Rhinolophus ferrumequinum: one gene and its partners. The protein of the gene in region 3 interacts with the protein of the main gene of each other region in a pairwise test. Links are inferred from orthologs where the notes say so. Each region holds a gene or a part of one and is shown on either strand. Other genes may lie near its edges.

What was found.
Region 1: the proteins of CEP70 (region 3) and FAM133A interact in binary tests that used the Homo sapiens proteins (3 or more experiments, as listed by UniProt). The two-hybrid records come from large-scale screens. The link is inferred for Rhinolophus ferrumequinum from reciprocal best matches to the Homo sapiens genes CEP70 and FAM133A.
Region 2: the proteins of CEP70 (region 3) and TAF1D interact in binary tests that used the Homo sapiens proteins (3 or more experiments, as listed by UniProt). The link is inferred for Rhinolophus ferrumequinum from reciprocal best matches to the Homo sapiens genes CEP70 and TAF1D.
Region 4: the proteins of CEP70 (region 3) and ZNF227 interact in binary tests that used the Homo sapiens proteins (3 or more experiments, as listed by UniProt). The two-hybrid records come from large-scale screens. The link is inferred for Rhinolophus ferrumequinum from reciprocal best matches to the Homo sapiens genes CEP70 and ZNF227.

What each region holds. Positions count from the first base shown.
Region 1 is NC_046284.1:60,758,887-60,766,502, forward strand, and holds the start of FAM133A (protein FAM133A), read right to left. Parts: upstream 3,021-7,616; 5' UTR 2,800-3,020; intron 2,186-2,799; 5' UTR 2,116-2,185; intron 1-2,115. Other genes in the region: NAP1L3 (nucleosome assembly protein 1-like 3), read left to right, coding at 3,509-4,972.
Region 2 is NC_046294.1:64,901,718-64,909,500, forward strand, and holds the start of TAF1D (TATA box-binding protein-associated factor RNA polymerase I subunit D), read right to left. Parts: upstream 3,003-7,783; 5' UTR 2,798-3,002; intron 1,303-2,797; 5' UTR 1,239-1,302; coding exon 1,180-1,238; intron 443-1,179; coding exon 67-442; intron 1-66. UniProt on the Homo sapiens protein: Component of the transcription factor SL1/TIF-IB complex, which is involved in the assembly of the PIC (preinitiation complex) during RNA polymerase I-dependent transcription.
Region 3 is NC_046300.1:37,673,588-37,680,494, forward strand, and holds the start of CEP70 (centrosomal protein of 70 kDa), read right to left. Parts: upstream 3,004-6,907; 5' UTR 2,873-3,003; intron 2,863-2,872; exon of another isoform or gene 2,605-2,862; intron 553-2,604; 5' UTR 484-552; exon of another isoform or gene 450-483; intron 1-449.
Region 4 is NC_046298.1:40,959,557-40,967,036, reverse strand, and holds the start of ZNF227 (zinc finger protein 227), read right to left. Parts: upstream 3,019-7,480; 5' UTR 2,818-3,018; intron 2,503-2,817; 5' UTR 2,339-2,502; intron 1-2,338. UniProt on the Homo sapiens protein: May be involved in transcriptional regulation.

The DNA of each region.
Region 1 (7,616 bases), on a different chromosome or scaffold from region 3:
GTGTGTTACTAGGTTCTTAGGTAATGCATGCACAATAAAAGTAGACCATTGTGGTTACAAGAAGTCACCTATAGTTTATGGCTTGGGAAAAAAATACTTTCAAATTGAAAATATGAACAGTTTACTAATATATCATCTTTGTATGAGGTTTTTACAAGCTGTGTTCTCTTTTTATTCTCCCTGTTCCACTCCAGACTTTTCTGTATCAGTTTAAATGATTAATTACTAATCTTTGAAAAGCATCTTAACAACCCTTTAAGTAGATCATTTTAGAATAAAAGCTGTAATTAAGTCATATTTGTCCAATATCATAAGTCACAGTTGCCTCCAATCAAGGCCAAAATTATATTTTACCTTTAGGATTTTACCACCAATTAATTTCTTTCTTAATTGAGTGGAAAAACAAGCAAAATATATGAATAGGCAATTCTCAAGTGTACAATAAACATGAAAAGACATTTAATCTTATCACTAATCTAAGACAAATACATAATAATAACAAATTAATTTGGAGATATTCATTAAAAATGTGAATAGTGATCACCTCTGAGTGTATTTTGAATTACTTTTAATTTATTTGGATTTCAATTGTAGTAGCTGTCTTCTTTTCAATGTATATCATTTCCACAAAATATAAAGCTATTAAAAAAACTGCCTCATTAGTTGCTTGCTGAAAAATTATTGCCAATGAATCAGAAAAGAGAATTCAGAAACAAAATTAAGCGATTTAGCTATTATGATACAGGTGGTATTTCAAGTAAGTGTAAGACAGAAAGATTATCAAATAAACAGTACCAAGAAAATTAGCTAATTAAAAAAATACATACATATTTTAAAAATCTGGATCCCTAACTCACTGCTTACTCCAAAATACTAATTCCTGATGGTACAAAATTTAATGTGTATTTTAAGCCATTAAAGTACTATAAAAATATAAGACCATTCATGAAAAAGATATCCATAATTTTAAATAAAAATAACAGGTTACAGAGCAATATTTATGGCATAACCCCACTGATTTAAATTATTGTTTCCAAATTATATGTTTTCATTAAAAGTATGAAACGAAAGGATACACACCCAGTAAATTTTATTCACCATTATATTGCCATCCTTTACTACATGTGCCTGGCATGAGACAGGCATAAAAATATATTAGCAGAATGATTAAATAATGATCTCTTATGCATTGTTCGTGGGACTGTAAATTGAGATAACTTTTCAGGAGAGAAGTTGGCAATAAGTATCAAAGAATAAAATGAGCGTACCATTTCAGCACTCCCATTTCTAGGCATTCATCCTATGACTAATTTTCACGAGTATATATAGTAGGTATACAGAACTAATTTTTTATAACTGGAAAAAAATGTTAGTGGAGAGATAGTTGGGAAATAGCTGCCTTGCAACAGGAATCTGGTTAAATGAATTAAGGCAAATATTTCTATTGAATATGCATCTATTTTAAAATAAGACGTTGATCATTTACCTTGAAAATATAGCCACAATAAATTGATAAAAGAGCAGGTTACAAAACATAATATCACGTCACATAGGAAAAACAGTATATACAGATAGGCAGGCGTGTGTATGTATAAATAAATTTCTGGAAGGAAATGCATGAAAACGCTAACAACAGTTATCATCCGGTTGTTAAGATTGTGTATTTTTACTATCATTGGAACTTTCTAAGTTGTATTTTTTCTTTACAATGCTTATATCCTTTGACAATCAGAAATAAAAGTAAATTCATTTACAAAACAGAAAATAAAGGTGCTTCCTAACTTTTAAAAAATATGACAAAGCACAAATCCTATAATGAAAAAGTAACATAAAGGTTCATCTAACTTTCATATTTTCACTTATTTGAAATGAATAATTCATTATATTTTATATTTTGATTTATTACTTGTATTCTATGAGCACGTTTAGATAGTGAATGTAATTAATTATTTTCTACATTAGTATGTCAAATCACCTCTGTGGATTTTTCTGCTTTCATAGAAATAACAAGTTATCTTCCAATTAAGTCTTTAAAAGACTACATCCTGTGAATTTATTCATATACAGATAGGTAATTCTTGTCATTCATAAAAATGGGCTAAATATGTTCCTTACCTTTCAATGAAAAGTAAACACTGGTCTTTTTGGTTGTACCAAGGGAGTTGCTCTGTAGCAGGAAAGAATCCTGTAAATAAAAATAACAGATACCTGTTTTTAAACTTCATTTTGCATATTAATGGACTTCTAAATCATACTGAGTACGGTTAGAATTTCACAATGTTTGCAGCAAATGGGTGGCAGATGACATTGTAACGTATACTCTGACAGATGATGCACTTTCCCTAGCACAAATCCCCCCTCCCATCCTTCTGTTCCTAGAATTGAAAACTGCTGCACAAAAGTATAGAGCAAACCCTCTGCTTTTAAATAATACTATCCAACATTTGAATGCCCTTTTATTTTATCTACAAGGTTGTTGTAAACATTGAGAAGGGCTACGTGGCAAGTCAGCAGCAAGGCTGGGGTGTATTATATGCCAGCTGAAAAACAGAAATATAGTAAAAATGGTGTAATTTGACTCACGGCAACAGGGGTTCGCAAACCTTGTAGATGGATTAAAGCAGGCTTGCCAAACATCACAGACAGCACTTATTAAAACTGCTACGTGGAATGCAATATGCCTGCTTTCTAGCCCCTCCCCCCTTTGCCAATAAACGACTCCCCCTTTTTTCAGTGTAAAAATACATGCTCATAGAATATTTAGATAGAGATTTAAAAAAAAAAGCCTAATCACACTACCCAAGGATGCCATTTGAAGTATTTTCATCCAAGTTTTTAAAAACAGATTTTTGTGAAGAGGCCCCTGACAAATCAAACGGGAATTCAGGATGAGCGGACAGGAGAAGGATACTCCTCTTCCCTTGTCAGGAACTATGGCTAGTATTTTTACCTCAATCTAAGCTTTTTTTTTTTAATTATAAAACTATAAAGATAGAATTTTGTAGGGATAAAACGTCTTCCAGGGGTGTGTGCCCCAGCTACCAAGAAGCATCTGGGAAGGCGGGCGGAGCCTAGGGGGCGCACAGCGTTTGCGCATTCGTTGGGCTTAGCGATCGTCAATCAAGCTTTCCCAACAAATGAGGTGCGAGCTAAAGGCACACTGGGAACTAAATTAAGGGGAGGTAGGGCTGGAAGGGGAGGGGGCTTGCGATGTAAACGGCGGAGAGATCTCGGGGTCTCACACTGCACCACTCCGCGGCGGCACGCCTCTGTCCGCCATAGCTGTCGCCAGGAGAAGCTGGCCGCCGCCGCTCGGGTCAGGCCTCCGCCGCCACCTCCGCGCGATCGCCGCAGCCCCGCCCCTCCCTGCGCTACTGCTGCCTTCGCCGCTGCCGCCTCCTCATCCCGAGCCTGGGCCATCCAAGCATCCGTGAGTCATTTTCTGCCCATCTCTGGGCGCGCGGTCTCAGCGGTAGCCGCCACCTTAAGAGGTTTGCAGGCTTGCACTATGGCAGAAGCGGATCTTAACATGGTCTCGGAACCTGCCGCCCATGGGGTTGCTGAAGAGATGATGGCTAGCTCGTCTAGTGATTCTGGGGAAGAATCTGATAGCAGTAGCTCTAGCAGCAGCACTAGTGGCGGCAGCAGCAGCAGCGGCAGCAGCAGCCGCAGCAGCAGCAGTGGCAGCAGCAGTAGCCGCAGCCGTAGCTACTTATATAGAAAGAAGAGGGTACCTGGGCCTTCCAGAAGGGCGCGGCGTGCTCCGTCGGGTAAAAATTTCGTAGATCGGCTGCCTCAGGCAGTTCGAAATCGTGTGCAGGCGCTCAGAAATATTCAAGATGAATGTGACAAGGTAGACGCCCTATTCTTAAAGGCAATTCACGATCTCGAAAGAAAATATGCCGAACTCAATAAGCCTCTGTATGATCGGCGGTTTCAAATCATCAATGCAGAATATGAACCTACAGAGGAAGAATGTGAATGGAATTCAGAGGATGAGGTGTTCAGCAGTGATGAGGAGGTACAGGAAGACAGCTCTAGTGAAATGCCTGCTTTAGAGGGTGAGGAAGAAGACGACGACCCTAAAGAAAAACCTGAGGTAAAGGCTGAAGAAAATGAGGTTCCTAAAGAAATTCCGGAGGCAAAGGCTGAAGAAAGAACAGAGTCTAAAGATTTTGTGGAGGCAAAGCCTGAAGTAAAAGAAGAGCCTAAAGAAGTTCCCCAGGCAAAGGCAGAAGATAAAGAACAGCCTAAAGCAACAGAGGCTAAGGCAAGTGCTGCAGTAAAAGAGGCTCCTAAAAGAGTTCCTGAGGTCAGGCCTAAAGAAAGAGTGAATCTGAAAAGAGCTCGTAAGGGAAGGCCTAAAAGAGAAGATCCTAAAGGCATCCCTGACTATTGGCTAACTGTTTTAAAGAATGTTGACAAGCTGGGGCCCAGGATTCAGAAATATGATGAGCCCATTCTGAAGTTCCTGTCAGATATTAGCCTGAAGTTCTCAAAACCTGGCCAGCCTATAAGTTACACATTTGAATTTTATTTTCTGCCCAACCCATACTTCAGAAATGAGGTACTGACCAAGACATATATAATAAAGTCAAAACCAGATCATGATGATCCCTTCTTTGCTTGGGGATGGGAAATTCAAGATTGCAAAGGCTGTAAGATAATTTGGAGAAGAGGAAAGGACGTTACGGTGACAACCACTCAGAGTCGCACAACTGCTACTGGAGAAATTGAAATCCGGCCCAGAGTGGTTCCTAAAGCATCATTCTTCAATTTCTTTAACCCTCCTGAGATTCCTAAGATTGGAAAGCTGGAACCACGAGAAGATGCTATCCTTGATGAGGACTTTGAAATTGGTCGAACTTTACATGATAATGTCATCCTGAAATCAGTCTATTACTATACAGGAGAAGTCAAAGGTACCTATGATGATGGTAAAGATTATGGAAACAGGAAATATCGAAAATAAAAAACCAGCTACCTGAAAAGAATTTGCAAGATCTCAAAACTTCAGACAGAAACGAAGCAGGTTTATATAGCCTTGAAAAAAAACCTGTCCTATAACCTCAACACTAGTATTCTTTACAGCCTTGTGCTTTTGTATTTTCTTGGTGGTCTAAAATACTGTCTTAAAATGTCTAAGTGTCAGTTTATTTTATATAGCCTGTTGTAGAGTAATATTCTTTAAAACCTGTAAACTGCTGTCCGTTATCTGAAGCATGTTAGTTTGGTGCTACAGAGTTTTGATTTTTGTGAAATCCTTTTGTCATGTTCCTATCAGAATGTAACTGTGAAAACTGTTAAAATTGTTATCCCAAACAAATATTTGCTTGAACAAAACAAGTTACTAAAGTAACAATACAAGTGTGTGTTTGTTTTTTTCTAGCCCAGAAGACTAGGGCTTTAAATCTGCTTGCACTATCTGTGCCTTCATTACTTTGCTATAGTACTTATATTAACTAGAACAGTGCATTGTGAAATTTGCTTGAAAAAAGATGAACATACTTTTAAGAATGTCTATCAGTACTATATATGATGTGACTGAGCTTGTTTATGTGACGGTGTGTGGTCTATAAATGTAATCATACTGAAGTTACTGTTTACCACTGAAGTGTTAATATGACATAGTATTTAAAAGTTTCCTCCTATAGAGTGTAACTGTAAACTAAATTACTAACCACATTTTTTGTACTGTGTTCTACTTTGCCTTTCACTGAAAATGATCACTACATCATTTGATATTTTTTCATGTACTTCAGTTGCAACCTAAAATAAATAAATGTCAAATAAAGTGTATCATGCTATAAAAATCTAGCATTTTTTCCTAATTATAAAAAGTAGGGCTTATTGTAGAAAAAGTAGAAAATAGGGAAAGGGAATTTTTAAAAAAGTCTAACTCATAACATTCTGCTATATTTTCCAAATCTTAGCTCTTCTTTGGAGGATACACATTCAAGTGATTAGAGAGAAGGGACAGGGTGGGAGACCAGACAAGGGAGAGAGAAGCAGATAGGAGGGGGAGGGAACATGGAGGAAGGTGGAAGAAGGGAGAGGGAAGAGGGAGGTGAGAAGCTGGGAAGGGAAAGGGAATGGGAGGAGGGTTTAAGAAAAAGCAAGGGAGGGAGGAGGAGGGGAGAGGGCAGATAGGGAAAGGGAGGAGGGTGAAGAGTGGAAAAGATGGGAGCGGGTGGGGAGAGGAAAAAGGGGAGGTGGAAGGCAGGAGTGATTCCCCCAGAAAGGACTTGTATATAAACTGTTGCTTTCACTTCGACGAGCAGGATGGGTAAATGTCCCAGGTCCAGGCTTCACCTGGACTAGGGAGGTGGTCATACTCCCAAGTGTGGCTATTTTTTGTCTTATAGGTAGCAGAGTCCTGTCACCACTTCTGCACTGTGCAGCTGGTTACCAGGTAATTTGATCCTAAGATTTTCATTTGAAATTAGTGTGAGGAGGAGGACCCTTAAACTCAGTTTACCAGAGAGCTTCTGCAGTGGACACAAAGGCACAAAATAAATAATAACGTGGCATTTTATTTCATTTGCCATTTCCCTGTCCACATATGTTTTCCTTCAAGACCTTACAGGAAAGAGATGTGGTAGGAGGAAGACAGGATTTGGGAATTTCTGGGTCTCTAGGCAGTAAAATTACGTAATAGTTTTCCCAAATCCCACTATATGTAGTTTCGTTATCTTGCTTTTATTCCTGCTTAACAATAGTCCCCATATCTATAAATATTACATATCTATAAAATATTATCTATAAATATTACATATATATAAAATATTACATATCTATAAAATATCCCCATATCCATAAAATATTACACGCCATGATATACTATATTTAACCAATCACATATGTTTGGATATAGGTTACGATTTATACAAAATCAGGAAGCAAATGATTGCCTTTAATGATACCATTGCAATTTTTGAAAGTGCTTTTGTTTTATTTCTGAGGGTTTTTTTACTTTATTATTTTTTTATTAAATTTATTGGGGTGACACTGATTAGTAACATATAAGCTTCAGGTTTATAATTCTATAATACATCATCTATATATTGCTGTCATTCAGGGTGTCATGCAGGGTCTCCTGTCCCGCTCCCCACAGAAGAATGCAGGATGGGGTGAGGCCAAAAAGGAACACTCACGGAGCCATAGATAGGGGAGTCATAACACTATATTCTTGCTGGCGGCTGGGCTGGAGACACAGGAAGCAGGAACCACACTGTCCGCAACCCAACATCCTAACGGCAATCCGCGCTTGCCAACCACCATCTTCTTGCTCGCCCCCATTTGCTGCTATCTTAGCCACGGCAGTTATATTAGTGGCCAATGGCTCACTGGTTACAGCTGACGGCCAACTAGTCACAGCTGATGGCCATCCAATCACAGTTGATGGCCATTTACTACCTGAGCCAGCACCTTTCCACGTGAGGCCAAGAGCCTGGAAACTGCACTCCTGGCTCTGTCCCCATATTGCATTGTGTTCACCACCTAGAGTCAGTTCTCCTTCCATCACTATATTTGATCTCCTTTACCCTCTTTTACCACCACCCCCTCCCTTACCCTCTGGAAACCACTAAATTGTTAATCAAGAATGGGTATGGCAA
Region 2 (7,783 bases), on a different chromosome or scaffold from region 3:
GTGACCAACAAATCATTTCAAGCACTTTTGCTATGGTATATCCACATATATAAAATACTGACTCACCTCAAAGCTTAAAATTTTTCTCCAAGGTAGTGATTTTCTCCCATTCTCTGATTCTAAAAATGGGAACCCAGGTCCTTTAGCTTTAAATTGTTTATTTATTTGTGACCTTCTAGTGTTTTTCCTTCCTTCTGGTCTTCCCCTTGGTCTTCCCGTTGGCTTATATTTCCTCTTTTTATACTTCTTTTTTTTCAGTCTTTCAAAAATAGCTTTTAAAGTCAATGGTCTTGGTTCAAAAGATGAGTCACTAGATGAATCTCTTGCTTCAACACTTTCAGGTGAATGAACAAACTTTCTAATTGTGTTTCTTTGCCTCCGTTTAGGTGAGTGAGGAACACACTGAGTTTTAAATAAGCTGCTACCAGAGGAAGAGTTATCACTAGGGAAAAAAGGGGGAAACTTAATTGCATCCTCTTTATATAATAGAATGCTTATTACCAGTAAAGTACTTTTCTTTCACCAAAGCAGGAAAACATGCTCAAGATAATTTTTAAAGATGGGCTCAGTACTAGCCAAGCACTTAGTTCTGATCGCTCTACTTTAAAATAGCCCCAAAGGCCAAAGCACTCACCAAATAAACTTCCAAGAGAAATACAAGTTCTACTCAGGCAGTCTTGTTCAATGCTGGAGGCTCCTTTAAATAACTCAAGAGTTGCCTAGTAGGTATACTAGAAATACTGATTTGATTACCCATTGAAAACAACAGATGAAGTAAGGAGATACCGCCATCAAAGACATAAGCCAAGCATAATGTGCAATAAGTTGTGTTTTTATTTTCCGAAGTTGATTTTTAAGCAAGATTGCCCACTGATGTCCATTTTCTTGTTATAAAATTAGAGTTAGTCAGGAAGAGATAGATATTAAGTTGGCCCAGAGAATATACTGTTTTCCTGGGTTAAGAAAGTGTTCCACTGTTAACTACGTAAGTACATAAACTTGGAAGGTCTATGTAAACCAGGTTTTTCTTTTCATTCCTAATTCTTGAAAATTACCTTTACCACTCATTATCTACAACGATTGATGCCTTCCTGGTGATTCAAATACAGTAAATATTATCATCGAATCTAGTGTTTTCCAGTAAAAAACTGGTGGTTAACACAAAAAAAATGCACTTACCTTTGATTGTCAATTTCCATAGCTGAATCAGATGCTGTTACATAGTCAAGAGAATCCATTCTTGATATGTATCTTCTCCAAGTCAAAATTATATGTCACTTGTTCTTTGCTTTAACCAAATTTCTGACAATATAAAAAACAAATATGTAGTTTCCTTGAACAAATCAATGCCAGCACAAACAGCTAATATACCAAAATGCAAAATCTGATGTAGTTAGATTATGCCATTATATGTAAATCATGGCAAAAATCATTTACAGGCCTTCAATATTTTCATTTAGGAAGCAACCATTTCAGATCAAATTTTAAAATCTAGAAGTTTTATTCACAAGTTCTTTCATTTGTGTCTCCAAAGTTATCCAATGGAACAAGATTCTAGAAAAGTACTGTCATTCCCAAGAAAAATATCAAACATCTTCCTATAACAGTAAAAAATATAATTTCATCACTAGCCATATAGTAATGTGCAATTACGAGTATTAACATTCAATTAGTGGCCCAAAAGCCATTTTCCAAGAGCAGATAGGAACTCCTAGGAAAAACTTATAAAGCAAGAAGGCAAATCATGGCCTCAATATACCAGGAAATATAATCATCACAATTTACTATCTCAATCCAATACACCACACTAAACTCCCGGTCTGGAATTTTCATTTATGGCCTCTTTCCATTCATAATACGGCTTATCAAAATCAATGAAACCCTCTTTCCTGGCATATTATCTCTTTGCCATTATGGGTATTAATTTAAAAATTTTGAATTCTCAAACGTTTCAATGAAAGATTAAGACTACAATGGTGCCCTTTGTCTTCCTTTTAAAAAATCTCTTTGGAAGATTTTAGAGTAGTTTGGTACAAAATAATTTTTAAAAAACATAACATCTCAATACTGCATCTCCCTTATAGAAGATGCTATCATTCTGCCACTTTTGTATAGGTGGGAATGACAAAATTGAAAGGAATCTTAGGATAAAATAGCAAAATATTTCAAATATTGGAAATCAATAAAGTCACAAAGATCTTAGATTTGTAAAATATCCAGCAGATTCACGTGGTATCTTCATGGTATCATTGTAGTTTTTTAATGCAACTTCTAATTAAGTCACGAAATAAATGCACAAAAACGAATTCAACAAAATTTGGACCAAAGGCACTGGTGGTATTCTTGAGGTTAAAGTGGAGTTAACTCAAAAGCCACTTTTTCGGACCCTTGTTTAGAAAGCATTCCTACTTAAGCGTCGCTTCCTATTCTAAGATTCTACGATGAGAGGCCACGTGGCCAGACAATGCACTTTACCAGCGCTAACTATACCTTTCAACCACTTACCATGTGTGACCTTGGGGCGAGTGTTTCCAGGAAGGACCTAACCTCATGCATGGAAAATGGCGTAATTGTTACTTCACACTAATTAACTCAGAAAACCTGTATTTGTCGATAATACTTTATAATACAACCCAGACACAATGGATCACGCCCAAAACAACCGCGAGCCCTCCACCCTCAAGGCCTGACTTCTACGGCTCGCTATTCCCTAAGCAACGTGGTGGACCCGGTAAAAGGTAGAAAAGCAACCCCTCCCTGCCCCACCAGCCCCGTGCGGCCATGTTCTCTTCCTTACCCATCCAGGTCGGCAGTCAGCTTGCACCAAAAAGGAGCGGCTCACTACGGAACTCCGCAGCCTACTCGCAGGCTGTAGCCCAGGCCTCGGGGGTCTGCACCCAGCAACCTTCCGGGCTCAGCACTCCAACGTGCCGACATCTACCCACCTCTCCAAGGACCGAAAGAAAAGGCTGAGGTAACTGCGCGACCCACTTAATAGTGGGGCCAAAATCTCGCGGTAACAATGTACTTCCGGAAAGAAAATGAGAGGCGGGAGACGCCATTTTGATCTCCGCGAAAAGAGGAGCGATTAAAAGTGGGCGGAGCTTTAGGGAACTCAGAGGAGGCGGAGTTGAAAGAGACAGGATTCTGGTGCAGGTTTCCCTAACCCAGTAGGTAAGTAGAACAGCCAAGAACATTTCAGCAAATGACAAAAAGAAATTGTAGGATCAAATGAACGGAATGGATGCAACCTGAGAGGAAACAGCCACTCAACATGATTTGTTTCCGGTGGTCTCGCCTTTGCTTAGCTGTGGTCCAGGGTGTGTGGGGGTGTGGGGATGAGTGGGGTGTCTGTGTGCGGTGCCGAGTGTGTTTTGTCATATTATGGATAGTTTTGTCTTCAAAAAAAAATGTTCTCTGTTACATTGTGAAAGGATCATGCCTTGACCATTATTCAAAATACGTAACCTTTGTACTAGAAGCCAGTGTTACTCTGTAGCACACCCAGTTCCTCTCTGCACCTTTGGACTTGTTAGCTCCCTCTTTCACTTCAAACTGAGGGGTCAGCTTCTCAGGAGTTGATTAACGTATCACAAGAGAAAACAACTTTTTTTTCTGTTTTTTCCCCTTAGTTCCCTAAACGGTTACTGAGTGTTAAAACAGTTTAAACTAGCTAAATTTTGGTGGGGTTTCTTTCCCAAAATAGTTACAAAAAGGAACTAGCTGGTTTGATTTGTCCACTTTCATACCTCTTTTATCATATGATAAACCAGTAAAGCTGTCTAGTGTTAGTTTATAGTTACTGTCATCTCAGGATTGGACAGACGTGGAAGGTAATCTGGTCTCTTCACTCAGTTTTCCTCCAAATATTGAACAATTCCAGGCGTAAAGTCTAATCCTTTAGGCATTTCCAGTCTATGAAAGGTAAGTATCACATATCTTACGGCCATATTCAGGAGCAGGCCTGGCCATGTAATCTGTGAGGCTCAGTACAAAATGAAAATGCAAGGTCCCTTGTTCAAAAATCAGGGGGAAAATGTTAGTTTATTATTGATAGCATTATTGTGATATTAATTATGCTATTATTAATTACTAGCATCAATTTGCTATTTAATTCACTCTAAAGAAAAATTTTAAATTATTAGCATGAATTTTACCATTCTTTATATTGTGCGCTGCCAGTTTTAAATACACATATAAGAACATTTAACTCGTATGGAGAATCACTGAAATTTCACAATTCATATTTCATAACTCATATAAACATCTACTGTTCTTACTAAAACGGTGGGGAATGCACAAAACTAACTCACCTGTATTTATTTTACTTTTTGATGTACACTCTATCGGTACTATGGAATCTGAGGACTTTTGTTGGGATGGTTTTTCCTGCAGGCAGCCCCCCTAAGAGCTCAATCCCCCTCCTCCTCCCATACCTTATCGGAGATGTCTCCCGCGGGGACAATAGTTAGAGGCCTCCCTGTCAAAACAAATGTTAAAGAAACACAGCTGCTAGGGACAGATCTCCCTGGCCCCCTGGCCAGATTTCCCCCCCAACCTGGAGGCCTAAACATATAAAACAAAGCGCCTGACCCCAGTTAGTGTTCAGTTCTTTGGGAACAATCCCACTGAGCCTGCTAGCGTAATAAAGCTGTGTTCTCCCTGATCTCTGCGAGCCGCTTGAGTCTCTCGGTCCTCGTCATTTCTTCCGCAACACTTTGAGTCTTCCTAAACCCCCATGTATCATGAGTCCACCAGAATTCTATGCTTACCCAGCTTCACAAATGCTTTATGTGAATGGGGGTAATTTGGAATGATGGTGGGCGTGCACATCGTGCCTCTCTCCTCTCATCCCAAGCATGCTCCTTTGTCCTATCAGTCTTAAACAAAAGTTCAAACATAACATTAAGAATTTCAAGATGGTGACAACAGAGCATTAAACCAAGTGCCATTCTGAGCATATTGCCTTGTGTAACTACCCTAGTTGCACACCCATGAAGCCAGCCCTGTCCCAGGGCCTTAAGTCTGGTACATTGTTAATGTTCAGTAAATAATTAGGCTGAACTGGTGTCCAGTTTGCTACACACTTGGAAGTGCTAGAAAAAGAAACAAGGCAAAATGGGATCACTTTTGCTAAGCACATTCACCAAACCAAAACCTAATAACTAGTCTAATTGCAATTTTAGCCTTTCCCAGGAGTGGAATTTTTAAGTAATCGGTATAGAATATCTTGATCAAAACTAGTGAGGTAAACTGCTTGATAAAACCCTTGGCATTCCCTTTACCCCAAAAGATGACCTGGCCTAAAAATAATCCTTTCTATTCTTTTGCTAGTATCTTGCCAGCCACACCCTTCTGCTTATAAAAACCTTCTATTTTTTACAACCCCTGGGAGCGCCCTTCTACTTGCTGGATGGGATGCTACCTGATCCATGAATCGCTTAATAAAGCTAATTAGATCCTCAAATTTACTCAGTTGAATTTTCTTCTTTAACAGAAGTCAGATAAGAGAAACACAGTTCTATCTTCAGGGATCACAGCCTAGGGGGAAGAAACAGAGCAACAGATGGTGACAGGTAACTCCTGTTACCCAACTTGTGGGTTGGGTTTTCAGTTCTCCCAGGATGGAAATCGTGCGAGAAACAATGAAATAACCAGTTGTCAGTAAAGGAGAAAAGAATTTTTATTAAAGGAGGATGGGATGGTTTGATGCATCAGGAGAGCTCACAACTAATGCTGGAGTGCCTCCTCATCTGGCTGAGTCCACCTTTTACACGTTTCTCAGTCCTTTGTTCTTGTTTGCTCGGGGAAAACTGCTGGCTTCCGCCTGCTGGTTCCTCATGACTTTTTTGCGCAGGCATAGTGGCCGTACATATTCTAACCTACTGCTTCATGCATAGCATGTTTAATTAGCATATGAAATCTCCCAGGGGTGTGTTTTGTACTATGCTAATAAGCTAAGGTCAAGAAAAGGACAGATTCTAGACTTAAAGTGCCTGCATCTATCTAAAGTGCCTGCATCTATCTAAGTCGGAACTTCCCGGGCCTGTCAATTTTCTTTGTGGTCTTCCAGCCCTCATAGCGGTTGTTTTTATTGATTAGTTAACCTTGGCTTCCTGCCCTTTGAGTACTCTCACAGATGATTTTCCAACATCTACCCCAACATTCTGAGTACTGTAAGATCACTCTATGCAAATTCTTCCTATTTGTTGAAATGTGTCATTCCTTCACCAGTTAACTCACATGATATAAAGTAATAAGTTCTGGCTTTACAGTGGGCTGGACTTAGTTTGAATTCTGTTTCTACCAGTTAATAGCTGAGTGATCTCTAGTCAATATAGTGTTTTTAACTGACTTTCTCTTTTATGAAATGAGGATAACATACATCGTTGTGAGAGGTTTTGAGAGAATGTAAAGTGCCTAACAGTGTGTCTAGTACATAATATGCAGTTAATAAACAGTTATCAGCTTGGTTGCCATAGTTTGTTTACCCCTTTTGGGCCTTGTTTCTGCAGCTCCACTTACCCAACTGCCTATTTCTATTCTTCCCTTCGCTAGACCTTACTTCTGGGCCACTGACTCCCAGCAATGGAATCTGAAGAATAAATATTGTGTGCCTCCCTGTGGCTCAAAGCTGTCCCCCTGTGGCCACTCTGACTTTGTATTACAACCTTTATAATTCCTTTCTCTCATCACTCCAACTCCAACCTCCTCTTCCCTCTCACACTATACACGCACTACCACACTGCCTTCCAGAATGTTGGCGGGGCTGAAGTTCTACATTTCTAAACCAATTATTCAGGTAGTAGCCTCCCAGGGTTGGACTTTGTTTCTATTTTGGTGGGTTTGGGGAAAACAAAAAGCAAAAAAACAACTGATCATCTTTTAAAGGGTGTAAAATCAGGTTTGAATTTAAACTTGAGTCTTTATTATTTCTACTATAAGTAGAAATATCTAGTGCTTTTATTATCCTCATTATAAATGTATTTATTCATTGAGCAGATTTTGACATGTTCTTAATTAGTACTTGCTGGTTTCTATAAAGAAAATGTGGTAAGATGTTAATACTTGGGAAATATTGTTGAAGAGTATACAGAATTATTTGTATGTAATTTTCTGTCCATCTGACATTATTTCAAAAGTTAAAATGGCTAATTCCTGAACAGTTATAGATTATTCAATTCAAAAATGTTTGAGAAAATTGAATTATGATTATATAGGACTTGGGGCCCATTATCAACTGTTTATATTTTATTTGAGACCAGTTTATGCCTATTAAGTAATTAAAGGATAATAAAAGTACTAAAGTAAATGTCAAGTCCTAAATGTATGCAATAGCATGTTTGTAGGGGATGTGTTTGGAATTATCATCAAAACTAAAAACCCAATTTCTAAGAAACTTGTGAATCTTTGGAAAAGTTAAAAAGAAATTTTTGAAAGAATTTTTCAGGGATGCTGAAGGTCACCTTTCAGTTACTAAGTAAGCATGGACCAGACTATTCAGATTAATGAGGTTTTCCATTAACAATTTTAATGAGAACTCCAACAGTGCTCTTAGAGATACTCTCCAGTTTTGCCTTTATACCCTATTGCAACTAGCCTCCAGTGGGATTTCTCACCCACCTTATTACTTTTGTTTGGGTTTATTTTTTTCTTTTGCCTTCATTTTATTTATCTCCCTCTGCTTGCACACCTCATCACCTGAACATTTGAGGTAAGATACTAATTTCTATGTATATATGCCTACTTACTGTAAAATACACTTAACCATATATTTTTAAAA
Region 3 (6,907 bases):
CAGCAATCTTTATTATCTTAAATAGTTCCTTAACCTCTCTGGGCTTCATTTTTTTTTTTTTAATTGGGGAATATTGGGGAACAGTATGTTTTTCCAGGATGCATCAGATCCAAGTCAAGTCACTGTTTTCAGTCTAGTTGTGGGAGGCACAGCTCAACTGCAAGTCAAGTCATTGTTTTCAATCTAGTTGTGGAGGGCGCAACTCACTGGCCCATGTGGGAATCGAACCGACGACCTTGGTGTTATGAGCGCTGCGCTCTAACCAACTGAGTCAACTGGCTGCTCTGGCTTCAGTTTCTTTAACTGAAATCAAAATATCTATTTGAGAGGATTACCAAGAGGTCAAAAGGAAATACATGTAATGTACCTAGTATAGTGGTCAATAAATAATAAATCCTTTCCATGGCCTCCCAACATCTAGAGAGAGTCATCCATCACATTAGACATACCTCAGTCATAGCACATTCCTCTTGCACTTTTTACCTGGTCATTCCAGTTGATCTCAATTAAATGATCACCCAGTAAGTCTCAGGTCTGAAACTGGATCTTCATCTAGGTTTCAAAAAAAATAAATAGACCACAATCTTAAAATGTTCAACCTCATAGTAAGAATGGTCTTGTGTTATTCCTAGAGCAGGCCTCCGTGGTACTAGTAAACACTGATCTGAAGCTGGACCAACTGAAGCTAATGGACTCCAATGCTCAACACCATGTGCCTTCTCTCTTCTCCTTTCCCCATAACTTTCCTCTCCCTGCCGGCAGTCTAAATCTATCATCATCTAACATCAATTCTGACTTCTGGCTTCAAAGGTAGAATATTCTTATTTGCAAGGGTACTGAAAAGCAGCACTCTCAGAGAAACAAATACCACTGAACACAAAAGGCAAAGGCAGGAAGAAAACTATCTCCTCAATTCTACCTGTGACCAAGTCCTCCCTTTTAGAGGACCATGCTGTAAAATTAATGCGCCAATAGTATCTAGCAGCCTTTCCCACTCAGACTGTGACAGGACACAGCTGGAACTTTGAGTCATCAGAAGAGACCAAAAGCTTACCAAGGCCAAAATAGAATCTAGCTTTAAGGAGTGTCATACCTAAAGTAAGACTGTGGGAATGGGAGTTGCAGGGTAGGAGTTGGTTTGTACATAGCATAAAAAACCAAGTGCAAAGAAGCAAAACACAGCTATATCTTCCAGCACTGTGCAGGTTCCCCAAGAGCCCTTTGGTAACTTGCTCTTTACAGGTCTGAAGTCCCTTTAACTGTACCCTTCGTTAGAATGTAATTTTTTTCACCACTTTTTGGGCAGGAAAGCTGGAAATAAACCATGGCAAGTGTCACACGTGGTGTCATATGGGGTCTCTGATCCCGCTCCCTGCATAAGAACGCAGGATATGGTGAGGCCAAGAAGGAACACCAACAGAGCCATAGATAGGGGAGTCATATCACTATATTCTCGCTGGCAGCTGGGTTGGACACACAGGAAACAGGATCCACACGATCTGCAACCTGCGGTCCGCTTCTCTGCCAACCAACAAACCCCACTTGCTAGCTGCAATCCGCGCTTGCTAGCTCAGCCACCATCTGCTGCTAGCATAGCCACGGCAGTTATATTAGTGGCCAATGGCTCACTGGTTACAGTTGATGGCCATCCAATCACAGTTGATGGCCATTTACTACCCAAACCAGCACCTTTCCACGTGAGGCCAAGAGCCTGGAAACTGCACTACTGGCTCTGTCCCCACAGCAAGTAACTATTCTTTTTGAAGTGACTCACATTAAAATCTGTAATTAGCTTTCTCAAAAGCATTTCCCATTATGGCAATAAATGGTATAGGCAATGTTTTCAAAGTCTCTGTGAATTAAATACAAAAGCTCTATTCCAAAAATGTATTAACATGCTGTTTAATAAGAAGACTCATGTTCCTAAAAAGAATTGAGTCTACCACAGATAAAGGAATGGAGTTAGGACTGGATATCATCTCGACCAAATCATTCTGCCCCAGAAGTTACATAAAGGGACAGAATTCTCCTCTCCCCGCTTTGAAGCAGAAGCTGAGGCAAAGCTTTAGTAAGCCACCTCTTCCCCAAGTTGGGGTGGGGTAGGCCGGGGTCTACTAAGCAATACTGAAAGTAAAAAAACAACTCATGTAGAGAATTGAAACCAATATGGGTTAATATCTGCACCGTGTTTAATATTATTACAGTTAGAACATAAAGTGGTAGTAGAAACCCTTTCGGATTGGTCTCTATGTTACGGGTCTCTCAGTCCTCCAACATTTACACCTTATCGATTTTCTTAATAGAATCAAATTAGACTGCATAAAGTCAGAAGCCTCCGGAATGAGCCTAATAAACCGGAGAAAGAATACTCACCTACCCCTTTGCATATACCCTCCCCGCTTTTGCTCCAAGTCTTCACTCGCCAAGCAACCTTCTCAGACTCCTTGACTCAGAAAAGTGGGGCGGGTCAGACCTGACCAACTCTCGCGGATCGAGTAATTACCTACAATTTATCCAGAATCCAGTCTACACCATGTATCATTCTAAGCTTTACATTTATTGTCCCACTTAACCTTCTCCACCACCATGCAAGGCAAGAATTACCAGCTGTATTACATAAATGAAGAAACTGAGGCGCTGAGACATTACATGAGAAGCCAAAGATCACAAAGGGCGGAGAGCCAGGACTGGAACCAGGTTTGTCAGGTCCCCAATCGTAAGACTGGAAGCGAACCCGTCCCAAGCGGTTCCTCTCTGGAGTCCCCGACAAGGGTCAGTTTGACCACTCGCATGGCCCAGGTGAAGCCAATTCCGGGGATGCTTCAGGTAGGGGCTCTGAGCGATGCCTCTGTGAACCTGGAGCGCCACTCACCTTCTTCAGCCGCCTCCCCCCAGCAGCAGCGCGCCCAGCCCCGCCGGCTCCACCGCCTTTGCCCCGCCTCCGCGACCGTTACCGCGGTGTGGGAGCCAGGCCTATCCAGCCCGAGCTCGTCAAAGAACCGCCCTCTGCTCCGCCGCCGAACGCCGGGATTTTTCACCGGCCGCCCGGGGAGGCTGGGTCAGCCCCGCGCCCTCTGGTTGGCTCCGCTGTTGGGGGCGGGGCTCACTATTAACGATGACGCAAGATGCTGTGCCTGGTTTGCCGTCTGCGTCTGCGTACTCCTAGCACACTTGTTACAAGCTCTGGCCTCGCAGGAGTTCATATCACTTGGCTGGAGCATCAACTGGCAGAAGAATTCAGAAATACACTTTTGAGGAGGTGAGGGGAGAGAGGCCCGGGCCTCCTGGCCAGCGCAGGCTGCCCTCCACACAAATACACAGGAGGTGACTGCGAGCTCTTGCTGCAGGACAGGTCAGCCTGTTCTGTAAGTTCCAGACCTAGCAGAGCACTGCAGCGCCTGGCATTTGGAGGACCCCAATAAGGGTTTGTTGATGACATTTTATTCTTCCATTCAGCATTTTCCCAATCTATGCAGTGTCAAGCCTACATCGGGCTCCAAAAATGCAGAGGTGGTTGACGATATGATCAAAGTCTAGTTAGGGAGAAGGGTATACACTTTGAAATTAAGATACAGTGTGGTATGATTAGAAAAGGGTGCTGTGGGGACAGAGCCAGAAGTGCAGTTTCCAGGCTCTCGGCCTCACGTGGAAAGGTGCTGGCTCAGGTAGTAAATGGCCATCAACTGTGATTGGATGGCCATCAGCTGTGGCTAGTTGGCCATCAGCTGTAACCAGTGAGCCATTGGCCACTAATATAACTGCTGTGGCTACCCTAACAAAAGATGGGGGCAAGAAGATGGTGGCTGGCACAGATTGCAGTTAGCACGGCGGATTGCAGCTAGCAAGGGATCGGTTGGCAGGTGGAAAAGCGGACAGCAGGTCGCACGTCATGTGAATCCAGCCTCCAGTGAGACTATAGTGGTATGACTCCCTTACCTATGGCTCCGTGGGTGTTCCGTTTTGGCCTAGCCACATCCTGCATTCTTATGTGGGAAGCGGGAGCTGAGGCCACGCAGGCCGCCCTGCGTGACAGTATTATAATTAAGCCTGGGCCCCTTTGATACAGCTCATATCTGCCCTCCCCAAAAATCTAACTCCCAAAGCATTTACAAATATAATAACTAAGAAAGCTGAATGTGGGGCCAGCCGGGTGGCTCAGGTGGTTAGAGCTCCATGCTCCTAACTCCTAAGGCTGCCTGTTGGATTCCCACATGGGCCAGTGGGCTCTCAACCACAAGGTTGCTGGTTCAACAACTCGAGTCACGCAAGGGATGGTGGGCTCCACCCCCTGCAACTAAGATTGAACATGGCACCTTGAGCTGAGCTGCCTCCCAGATGGCTCAGTTGATTGGAGCGCATCCTCTCAACCACAAGGTTGCTGGTTCGACTCCCGCAAGGGATGGTGGGCTGTGCCCCCTGCAACTAGAAAAAACTGCAATTGGACCTGGAGCTGAGCTGCGCCCTCCACAACTAAGACTGAAAGGACAACAACCTGAAGCTGAATGGCACCCTCCACAACTAAGATTGAAAGGACAACAACTTGACTTGGAAAAAAAGGCCTGGAAGTGCACACTGTTCCCCAATAAAGTCCTGTTCCCCTTCCCCAATAAAATCTTTTTTAAAAAAAAAGGAAAAAAAGAAAGCTGAATGTGTTGCATCATTGGAGAGGCAGAGGAGGAAAGCCTTAGGAAGTGTGCTAAGCTGGGATTTTATCCAGGAGGTAATAGGGAACTATAGGCAAGTTTTCAAAGGGCGCATAAAATGGAAAGGTTTTTGTTTGGGTGTCTTCAAGCCTAATTTTCTTGCATCCTGATATATAGGTAAAAACTGTTCAAACAGTCTACAAATATGATCACTGCTTTGTTTTTTCTACAAAAGGAAATCAATTCAATCAGCTCTATTTTTCAGTTCAACAAGTTGAGGATATACAAATAGGGTCCCTGCCCAGCATTTTTAAAAACTCGTAGGGGATTAAGTGATCCAAAAATTCCTAAGGGAAAATCTAACGTCCATATACCAGGCGTCTCATCTGCCCACCATTGACGTTGCATTTTATAACCACATGGTGTCGCTGTTGACAACTTGTATTTTCCAACTGGTCAAATGACGCACGTCAGTGGCGATGCAGTTCCCACAATGGCCAACAGGGATCTCCCACGGCAGGAATCAGCCAAGGCATCTCCCACAAGAAGGCCTCCGTCACAGCTCTTACTTTCAGGCCCATACTCAGCCTTACCTAGGCAACAGGGCCCACTGTGAGTTTGATCTGCCCCATACAAACATATCCTGAGTTCCAAAAGGGAAAAGGGGTTACCATAATTGGGAATTGGCACTGGGGTGGATGCTCCTTGAATCACATGAGTTGGAAGGTGGAGGCATGTCTACTTAAGTAAAACAGTCCAGTAAGGGGCGAGAGGACAATGGATGCTAGATGGATAACCAGTATCCTTCATGATCTTCAAGCATGAGAAGGCTGAATACTTTCTATTTCCTAACACTAGACCCTTCCTCTCATTGCTCCTGGATTTTGGGTGTAGCAAGTAGAGGGGAGGAAGCTCTAGACAACTGTCCTCTAAAGGAATTCTCATCTTAGGGACCACCATCTTATGACTGTCCAGCACCTCTCTTTGCTAGAGAAGGGAAAGACTCTGTACACAAGTTCAGTCTTCAGCTCAGCATCCTGCTGCACTGGTCTTAAAAGTTTTGTATGGGCCTCATCCACTTATCAGGATTGTGATGGTTCTAAACACTTATTTAACATCCACTCATTTACAAGAAATTTATAAAGTGCCTGTTATGTACTAGGGATTGAACTAGATGCTGAGTTTACAGTGGTGAGTAAACCAGATGTTGTTCCTGCCCTCATGGAGTTTACAGTCTAGTTGAGAAGAGAAATGTGAAACAAACACAAATAAGCATATAATTGTGACAAGCGCTATGCAGGAAGAGAACAGGGGTGTGTGGAGGAGGCCTTTCTGAGGAAATGAGATTAATGAGGTGTGATCAAAAAATACAGTGAATGCTGCTGCTGAGTGCCATCCAACGGAAAGGCAGGGATCTTCAATACGGAAAGTGGCACATCGAATCTTAGTAACAGTGTGACAAGTTTCAACTTGTTTAATGCAGTCTGTTGGGTGTGAGCTATGGTTGAGAGAAGGTGTGTTTCAAAGTGTGCCGTAAATCATCCTCCATCATGACAACGCTTCGTGTCACACATTGCTTCTGGTACAGCAACTTCTGTCAAATAAAAACATTACGGTGTGTCCTCATCCACCTCATTCACCAGAACTGGCACCATGCAACTTCTGGCTCTTCCCCAAAGTCAAAATGACCATGAAAGGTAAATGTTTTGAATTGATTCAGGACATCAAGGCAGCCACGACAGCGCAACTAAGGACACTCATGATAGAGGACTTCCAGAACTGCTTCAGAAAGTGTCAAGAACAATGCGATAAGTGTGTTCGAAGTGAAGGGAGTATTTTGAGGGGGATTAATGGCAATGTGTCTTTTACTGTAATAAATTTTATTTAAACATTCACCATATTCTTTGATCACACCTCGTAAGCTGTGATCCAAAGCCACTCTTCATTTCGGCTTACTGCTTTCCTCTGTGCTTGGCCTTCTCAGTATAGATTTTAGCTTTCATTAGCAATTAAACAGATCTTTTCATTTCTAAACTTCTAAACTGATTCTCAAATTTTCTCCTGGGTATAGAACTATCAGGTTTCTTCCCACCACAAGGAGTATGTCAAATATGAATGACATTGGGTGATGAATTCTTTAAGATTCTTCAACTCACAAGTCTTTTAGACTTAGGCTCCTTTTTTACACTAATAATTTGTTTCTGCGTCCCACATGAGAATTTGAACTCCTGGGGACATGGATCATATCTTACTTTTTCCATCAC
Region 4 (7,480 bases), on a different chromosome or scaffold from region 3:
TATGTGCATGGAGAAAAAGAAAAACACATAGCAAAGAGAAAGATATGAAAGAAAAAACAAGAAACTCAGAGGATAGCTTGACAGCCCCCAACAGTTGTCTAATAATAAGGAGTATGAGAGTAAGAGAATGTAAAAAAATGACAGAGAACAAAAAAACAAACAATCCAATTAAAACATGGGCAGAGGATCTGACGAGACATTTCTCCAAAGAGGACCTACAAACAGCCAATAGACATATGAAAAAATGCTTAACATCACTAGTCAGAGATATGCAAATAAAAACCACAATGAGATATCACCTCACCCCAGTCAGAATGGCTATCATCAACAAGACAAATAGTAACCAGTGCTGGAGAGGCTGTGGAGAAAAAGGAACCCTCATACACTGTTGGTGGGAATGCAGACTGGTGCAGCCGCTATGGAAGGCAGTGTGGAGGTTCCTCAAAAAATTAAGAATAGAATTACCATATGACCCAGCAATCTCTCTTCTGGATATCTACCCCAAAAATCTGAAAACATTTATCCATAAAGACATAATGTTCATTGCAGCTTTATTTACAGTGGCCAAGACATGGAAACCACCAAAGTGTCCTTCGATAGATGAATGGATAAAGAAGTTGTGGTATATATACACAATGGAATACTATTCGGCCATAAGAAAGATGAAATAGTACCATTTGCGACAACATAGATGGATCTTGAGATTATAATGCTAAGCAAAATAAGTCAGACAGAAAAAGTGGAGAACAATCTGATTGCACTGATATGTGGTATATAAAACTGCAAATAACAAAAGAAAAAGACAAAGAAATGAAGAAACAAAAACTCATAGACACAGACATTAGTTTAGTGGTTACCAGAGGGTAAGGGGGTTGGGGGGTGGGAGATGAGGGTAAGGGGGATCAAATATATGGTGATGGAAAGAGAAATGACTCTGGGTGGTGAACACACAAGGGGATTTATAGCTGATGTATTACAGAATTGTACACCTGAAATCTATGTAACTTTACTAACAATTGTCACCCCAATAAACTTTAATTAAAAAAAAATGGCAGAGAAGTCTTATTTCAAGAGCTAGCTGCTGAGTTCATATATGGAAATTATGAACAGTACAAATAAAAGTAAGTATAGTCCTAAACAGATCATATTGAAACTCAGAAATGCAAAAGACCAAATAAATAAACTAACAACAACAAAAATCCTTAAAGCTCCCAGAAAGAAAATACAGTTTATCTAACAGAAATGACAGATTGACAATAACAGGGAAACACAATAGAGATGTAAAACAACTGAATATTTCCAAAATGAAGAAAGAAAATAGTCAACCTGAAATTCTATGCTCAACTAAATGATTATTTAACTAATTTAAAACGTTAAAGACATTTTAGCTGAACAGAAATGAATTTATGACTAAATGAACTCTGAAGCAATGGTAAGAAAACATTTGTAAATATGTTTGGTAATATCATTGTTAAGGAAAAAAAAAAGCCAGCCTGCCAGGTGGCTCAGGTGGTTGGAGCGCCATGCTCCTAATGCCGAGGTCCATGGTTGGATTCCCACATGGGCCAGTGAGCTGCGCCCTCTACAGCTAAGATTCTCAACACCTAGAGCTGGGCTGTCCTCCCCAGGTTGGTGTGAGCTGCCACCGGCTGCTGTGAGCAGCAGACCACCAACTGCCTCAAGGTGGGGTGTGGTGGGGAGGCTCATAATCCCAGCCTGGGCCAGGGAGCTGTGTCCTCCACAACTAGACTGAGAAACAACAGCTTGAACAGGGGCAGGGGAAGGCGGCAGAAGGGGGAGGAAAAAAAAACCCAGAAATAATATGACAAATTTGGATGGTGGTTATAATAAAAAGTGTATCTATAACTCAGCCTACAGTTTAAAAAAGGTGGTGGTGGGGGTGGTGGGAAGCCATCATCAAATTTCAAATATATTTTTACTCTATATTTTTCAGAATGAGAATACATGCTGACTAAATTTAGTATTTGCTGAGACAGACAATCATTTATAAGAATTAAAAGAATACCACAAGCCCATAATTTCCAAACCAGTTGAGAGCAAATAAAAGGGAACAAACTAAACTGAAGACAAGAGAGCAACAACAAAAAGAAATGTAAAGCGCAGTAAATTTAAAAATGAATATGTATTTAAAATAAATATATAAAATATCTGGGGTGTAGAAATAGACACACACATATTAAGAAACAAATTAAACATTTGCGGGTTTATTCAACAAATATTTGAACATTTTCCTAGCAGTAATTTACTGAGTTGAAGGAAACCTGATTAACCGAAAACATAGATGACAGACCAGGAAAGTACTTTGAGTAGCACGTACCTGGGGCTATGAAAAGCCAAGAAATCCCTTCTTCTTCCCCTTTCCGAATTCAGGAGTGGTGAAGAAAAGGATGCACTGGGATAGCACGATAAACTCTGTTTCCGGGATAAACTGCAGGGGCAGAGGACATCCCCAAGCACTAGCGCGGGGTGATTCAGTGTTTCCTAAAAAAGAGATAAAAACTCAGTAAAGTTAGGGAAGAGCTCTGTTTCCGGAAGGATGACAGAAGGGCCACGGCCTTGCTCCTATAGCCCTAACCTCTGTCTTCAGTGGGGCTTCCAGTTAACAGGACGCCGGTGAGGGAATTCACTGTACCAATAGCAAAGCCAACTCCTTATCATGTGCCACCACTGTCCTAAGCTTTGGACACGTATTGTCTCATTTAATTCTAATCACAACCCTCCCCAGTAACTGCTCTCTCTCTCTCGCTATTTTAAGGAGGAGAGGAGAGCGCAGAGATAACTCGCCACATATAGTACCGATGGAAGTAGCAGCGCTGCATGATAAGCCGGCCAGGAGAGCTTCCGCCCTCCGCCTTTCAGCCTCCGCCGGCGGCCGCGACTCCTCCATCCTAAGACAGCCGGCTAGGTAGCGACCAGTCCCGCAGTGAGGCCGAAAAGGCGCGGAGGAATCGCGGGGCGCAGGGCTGACTCACCTCCCGGACAGTGATGGCCTCGCTATCCTGGGGCGGAAGTGCCTTTGACTACTCGGCACCCAGGAACTACACTTCCCAGAAGCACCTTGTTTCCGGACAGAGATGGGGAATACATTTCCCAGAACCTCCAAGAGGAGGAAGAACCATGTCCGCCCTATTAGATCTACTAAAAATAAAAAATACAAAAATCGCCAAATTCTTGGAGTTCCCGGCCTACAAACTTACAGCTTCCACAAATCCCTTTAGTGGCTTCCCGCCATTTTGCCGGCCTCAAGCATATCTCTTGACGCCAGTAGAGTTTAGCTGTTTTTCATTGAGAAACGAAACATAACACTAGTAAATATTTGAAGTCAGTCTTGTAAGAAATACCACGTGATGCTTTACTGATAGGATTGTACCCACTACTACCCGAAAAAGGAAAAAAATGATAGCCTCTATTGTGCAGTTTCAGGCACTTTTTAGATATAAAAGGAATGGGAAAAAAAGCAACGGAGGCAGAATTATATTACAGATTTCCACGTTTGTTAATAGCACAAATAAGTCAGAACAACTTGCCTGTTGAGGACAACTAGACATACTCAGGGTGAAAAGCCACGCTTCAGCACAGACTTGTATGATCAACTTCTCAAAGCAGTAGAGGTCATTGAAATCATTCCTCAGGAAATTTACAAATTTGAAAGATAAACACATTGTTAATTAGATGTTTAAACATGGTCACTGTAAAGACATATCCATAAATACACACAATACATGTTTGCGTTTCTCATTTACTGAGCATATATACCTTTATTCTGCTACACACAGCTATCTCTTATGGAGTATGTAGTGTGTGCCAGGGACTATTCCACTCTTAAGACACTTCATCTTCACAACTATTTTTTTTAAAGTAAGTACCATTGTTTCCTCTATTTTACAGTTTAGGAGGCAGAGGCAGCAAGAGGTTAAGTAATTTTCCCACATTACTGTAAGTGCTAGAGCCATGTTTCCAAATGTGGTGTGCGATGACCAGAACCTGAGTGCTACCCACTACATTGACCACATCTTGCTTAATCAACATGAACAGAATATTTAACTTCAATCAATTTATTGTCCTTTGTGTTGCCAGAGAGATATATCCTAACGTGGAAATTCAATTATTTTCACCCGCATGTCTATCTAGTACCCCAAAGAGAAGAAACAAAAGTTTTAGCCAGTCACATAAACAGGAATCTTCCCTATGCTGGTTTCCTCTTCACTTGAAAAGAATGTATATTCTGCTGCTTTGGGGTGAAATGCTCTAAAAATATCTATTATATCCCTATGGTCTAATGTGTAATTTAAGGCTGCTGTTTCTGTGTTGATTTTCTGTCTAAAGGTTCCGTCCATTGGTGTCAGTGGGGTCTTAAAGTCCCCTACTATTATTGTGTAACTGTTGACGTGTGCCTTTATGTCTGTCAATATTTGTTTTACATATTTAGGTGCTCCTATATGGGGTGCATAGATGTTTACTAGGGTTATGTCCTCTTGTTGGATTGATCCATTTATTATTATATAATGGCCTTCTTTGTCTTTTAGTATAGTCTTCATTTCAAAATCTATTTTGTCAGATATAAGTATTGCTATGCCAGCTTTTTTCTTGTTTCCATTTGCGTGAAATATCTGGTTCCCTCTTCAAATCCACGTTCCACTCTACATGTCCACCCATGTTCCTTATGTCACATCTTTCTGCTCTTTTCTCTTCTAGGTCATAGTCTTCATCCATAGCTTAAATATTCCCTGATCCAGTAAGACCTCTGTAGCTTTTGTTTTGTAGACTAGTAAAAGCAATGTGCAATAACCAAGATTACAGACTTGGAATCGGCTGCCAAGATTAAAGTACTAATTCTGCCACTTATTCTGTGAGCTCTGTCCCTTTCTTCTTCATTTGTACAATGGAGATAAATAATAGGGTTGCTATAAAGAACAAATGAACAAATACACATAAAACCACTGGAAACTCAAACTCATGACAACCCTATAAAAAGTTAGGAAATATTATCCTTGGTGGAAAACACTGGACACATAAATTACGGATAGTAGGTTTCTAAATAAGTGTGCTTTAAGTCATTAAAATAGATATCAATAATTACATTCAAATTTGAATGCTATGAGAAAATCAGTAGATTCTGCATCCCACTGAAAGTGAGATAAGGAATCACTAAAGTCTATATTATTCCCTTCTGTTGTTTCCTAAATCCTTTTCAGGAATTCTGAATACAGTCTAACTGAGCTGCAGGCCCCTGTACCGTAACAGCCTCAACCACTGAAGAACTCCTCTCTCCTAGTCTCTGGCTAGGTGCTAAGCAAAATGTAAAGAGAATGGAGCATATTCCCTGCAACAAAGTGGCATGCAGCCTATGGAAGAAACAGATTGGAAACCAAGATCTAGAAGATTGTGCCAAGTCAAATTCCAAATAAAAAAACAAATTTGTAATTATTCCTGTCCAAATCTCAATGTTTGTGTGTCCCTTAGCTTTCTCACATAACTATCATCTGCCAGGAATGAAAATTCTGAAGTTAACCCTTTTGCTTTCCCTATACAATCAATTTATATTAAAGGCTTTTAAATTCTACTCACTCCATGACTGGGATTTAGTTTTGGTTTAAAATATTACAGCTCCCCCTCCCCAAGTCCCCAAGCCCCAAATAAGTATTTTTTGTGAGAAGGGGAATTGATGTGATAAGATAGACAAAATGTTGACAAGGGTTGCAGATGAGTGAACATGGCGGGGGGGCAAGTTTCATTACATTATTTTCTCTGTTTGCATATGTTTGGGCATTTCCATCTAAAACGTTAAGGAAAAAATATGTGTAACACAGCACCAATGCATAAATGCATTAAAAATGTTGACAGTGGTTTATCTCTAAATCCTGAAATTATGGCTAATTTCAATTCTTTCCTTTTTATATTTCTGTATTTCCCAATCTCTCTATAATGAGCATGCATTTCTTCTATAATTGAAATATAAACTATAAAGCTGCAAACCACCTTCTAAACCTGAGAGGAAAAGCTTCCTCAAGCCATATACACAACTATTTCCTGTGATTAAAATAATGTACAGCATAGAGATTAAAAATTCCCTCTGGAGGCTCCAAATCCTTGGGTTTAAATGGCATTTCTGCTCCTACTAGCTGTAAATCTTGGGCAAACAACATAAACTCATGAAGAGGAAATGAAAAAAGAGGATTTTCCTTCTCTAAAGAATCCATTTTTCCTTTCCCTTTTTCATAGAGCATTTCCAAAAGAAACCTAGTGCTTTTGCATCCTTTCTCTAATCTTTTGGTATGCATGTAAATCTTGTTAGAGGCTGACTCTTAACCAAGTTTACAACCCAGAAGTGTTTTCAAATGTCTTGGGTTTGTCCCTTTCGAATGTAAACATCTGAGAAAGTGAGTGTCCCTATCACTGTGGGAGTTTAACCAAGGTGCCTTTCTCTGTAAATCTGCTAGCAGGGAATGATAAGATAAGTTTTACTATTCCTTTGGATAAAATCAATGAACTAAGACTTCATTCACAGTAAATTTTGGATAAATTTATCAAAGAATTTGCAGCAAATGGTGTAGTCAAGTCCTCTTATAGGAAGACAAGATTCCACCGCTAACTTGAGAATGTATATACCTAGTAGTTAAAAACAGAATGCTATAAAAAGTTTATGATTGCTTGACTATATAAATAGGAAATTACTTACAAGACTGTACTCTGATGTGCTTATTCAGTAATAAGATGGCTTTCTTTTCTACATTGTGAAGAAAGGACTTTCTGTGTTGATAGGGTGTTTTATTTCTCTAATATTACCTCCGTTTCCTTATCCGTTAAAAATAAAGGCTGATAGCGGCACCTACCTCATAAGGCTGTTGCTGTCATTTAATGAATTAATTCGTATAAAATGATGAGGGAGTACTAATGATGACATTATTTTGGAGATGAGGATAATGAGATTAAGTAACTCGCATAATGTTTGTTACTCTCGGAAGTGACAGTACGGGAAGTCGGCTGAGGAACGCCAAGAGACCTTCAAATTAGGCGTATGCGACCCGGGCCGCCCCCAACCCGAGGAGCAAGAACCGCTCCAAACGAGAGGTTAGGAGAAGGGAACGCAAACGTCTCCCATCCCTGTGCTCTGCATCTGGCGGCGGCTTGGGCAGTCCCAGGACTGGAGGGGCTCCGGGGATCCAAGACACCATCCTTGACGTCCTACAGTCAAAAGTATCTCCCTCCGACGACAGAACAGGAGCCTGGACCACTTCCCAGAATTCCCTAGCCCTGCCGGCGAGAAGCGGAAGTGCGGCTGACTACACTGCCCCAGACTACACTTCCCAGAATGCCCGAGAGAAACGAGACCATAGCCCCGCCCCTGGAGCGGAAATACCTCGAACTACTCTGAGCTTCTGGGTAGTAATCTCCAGAAAGCCAGAGGAAACCTTCGTAAAGTTGTGCCGTTTTCGAGTGGTAGTGTCTGTTTTGTTGG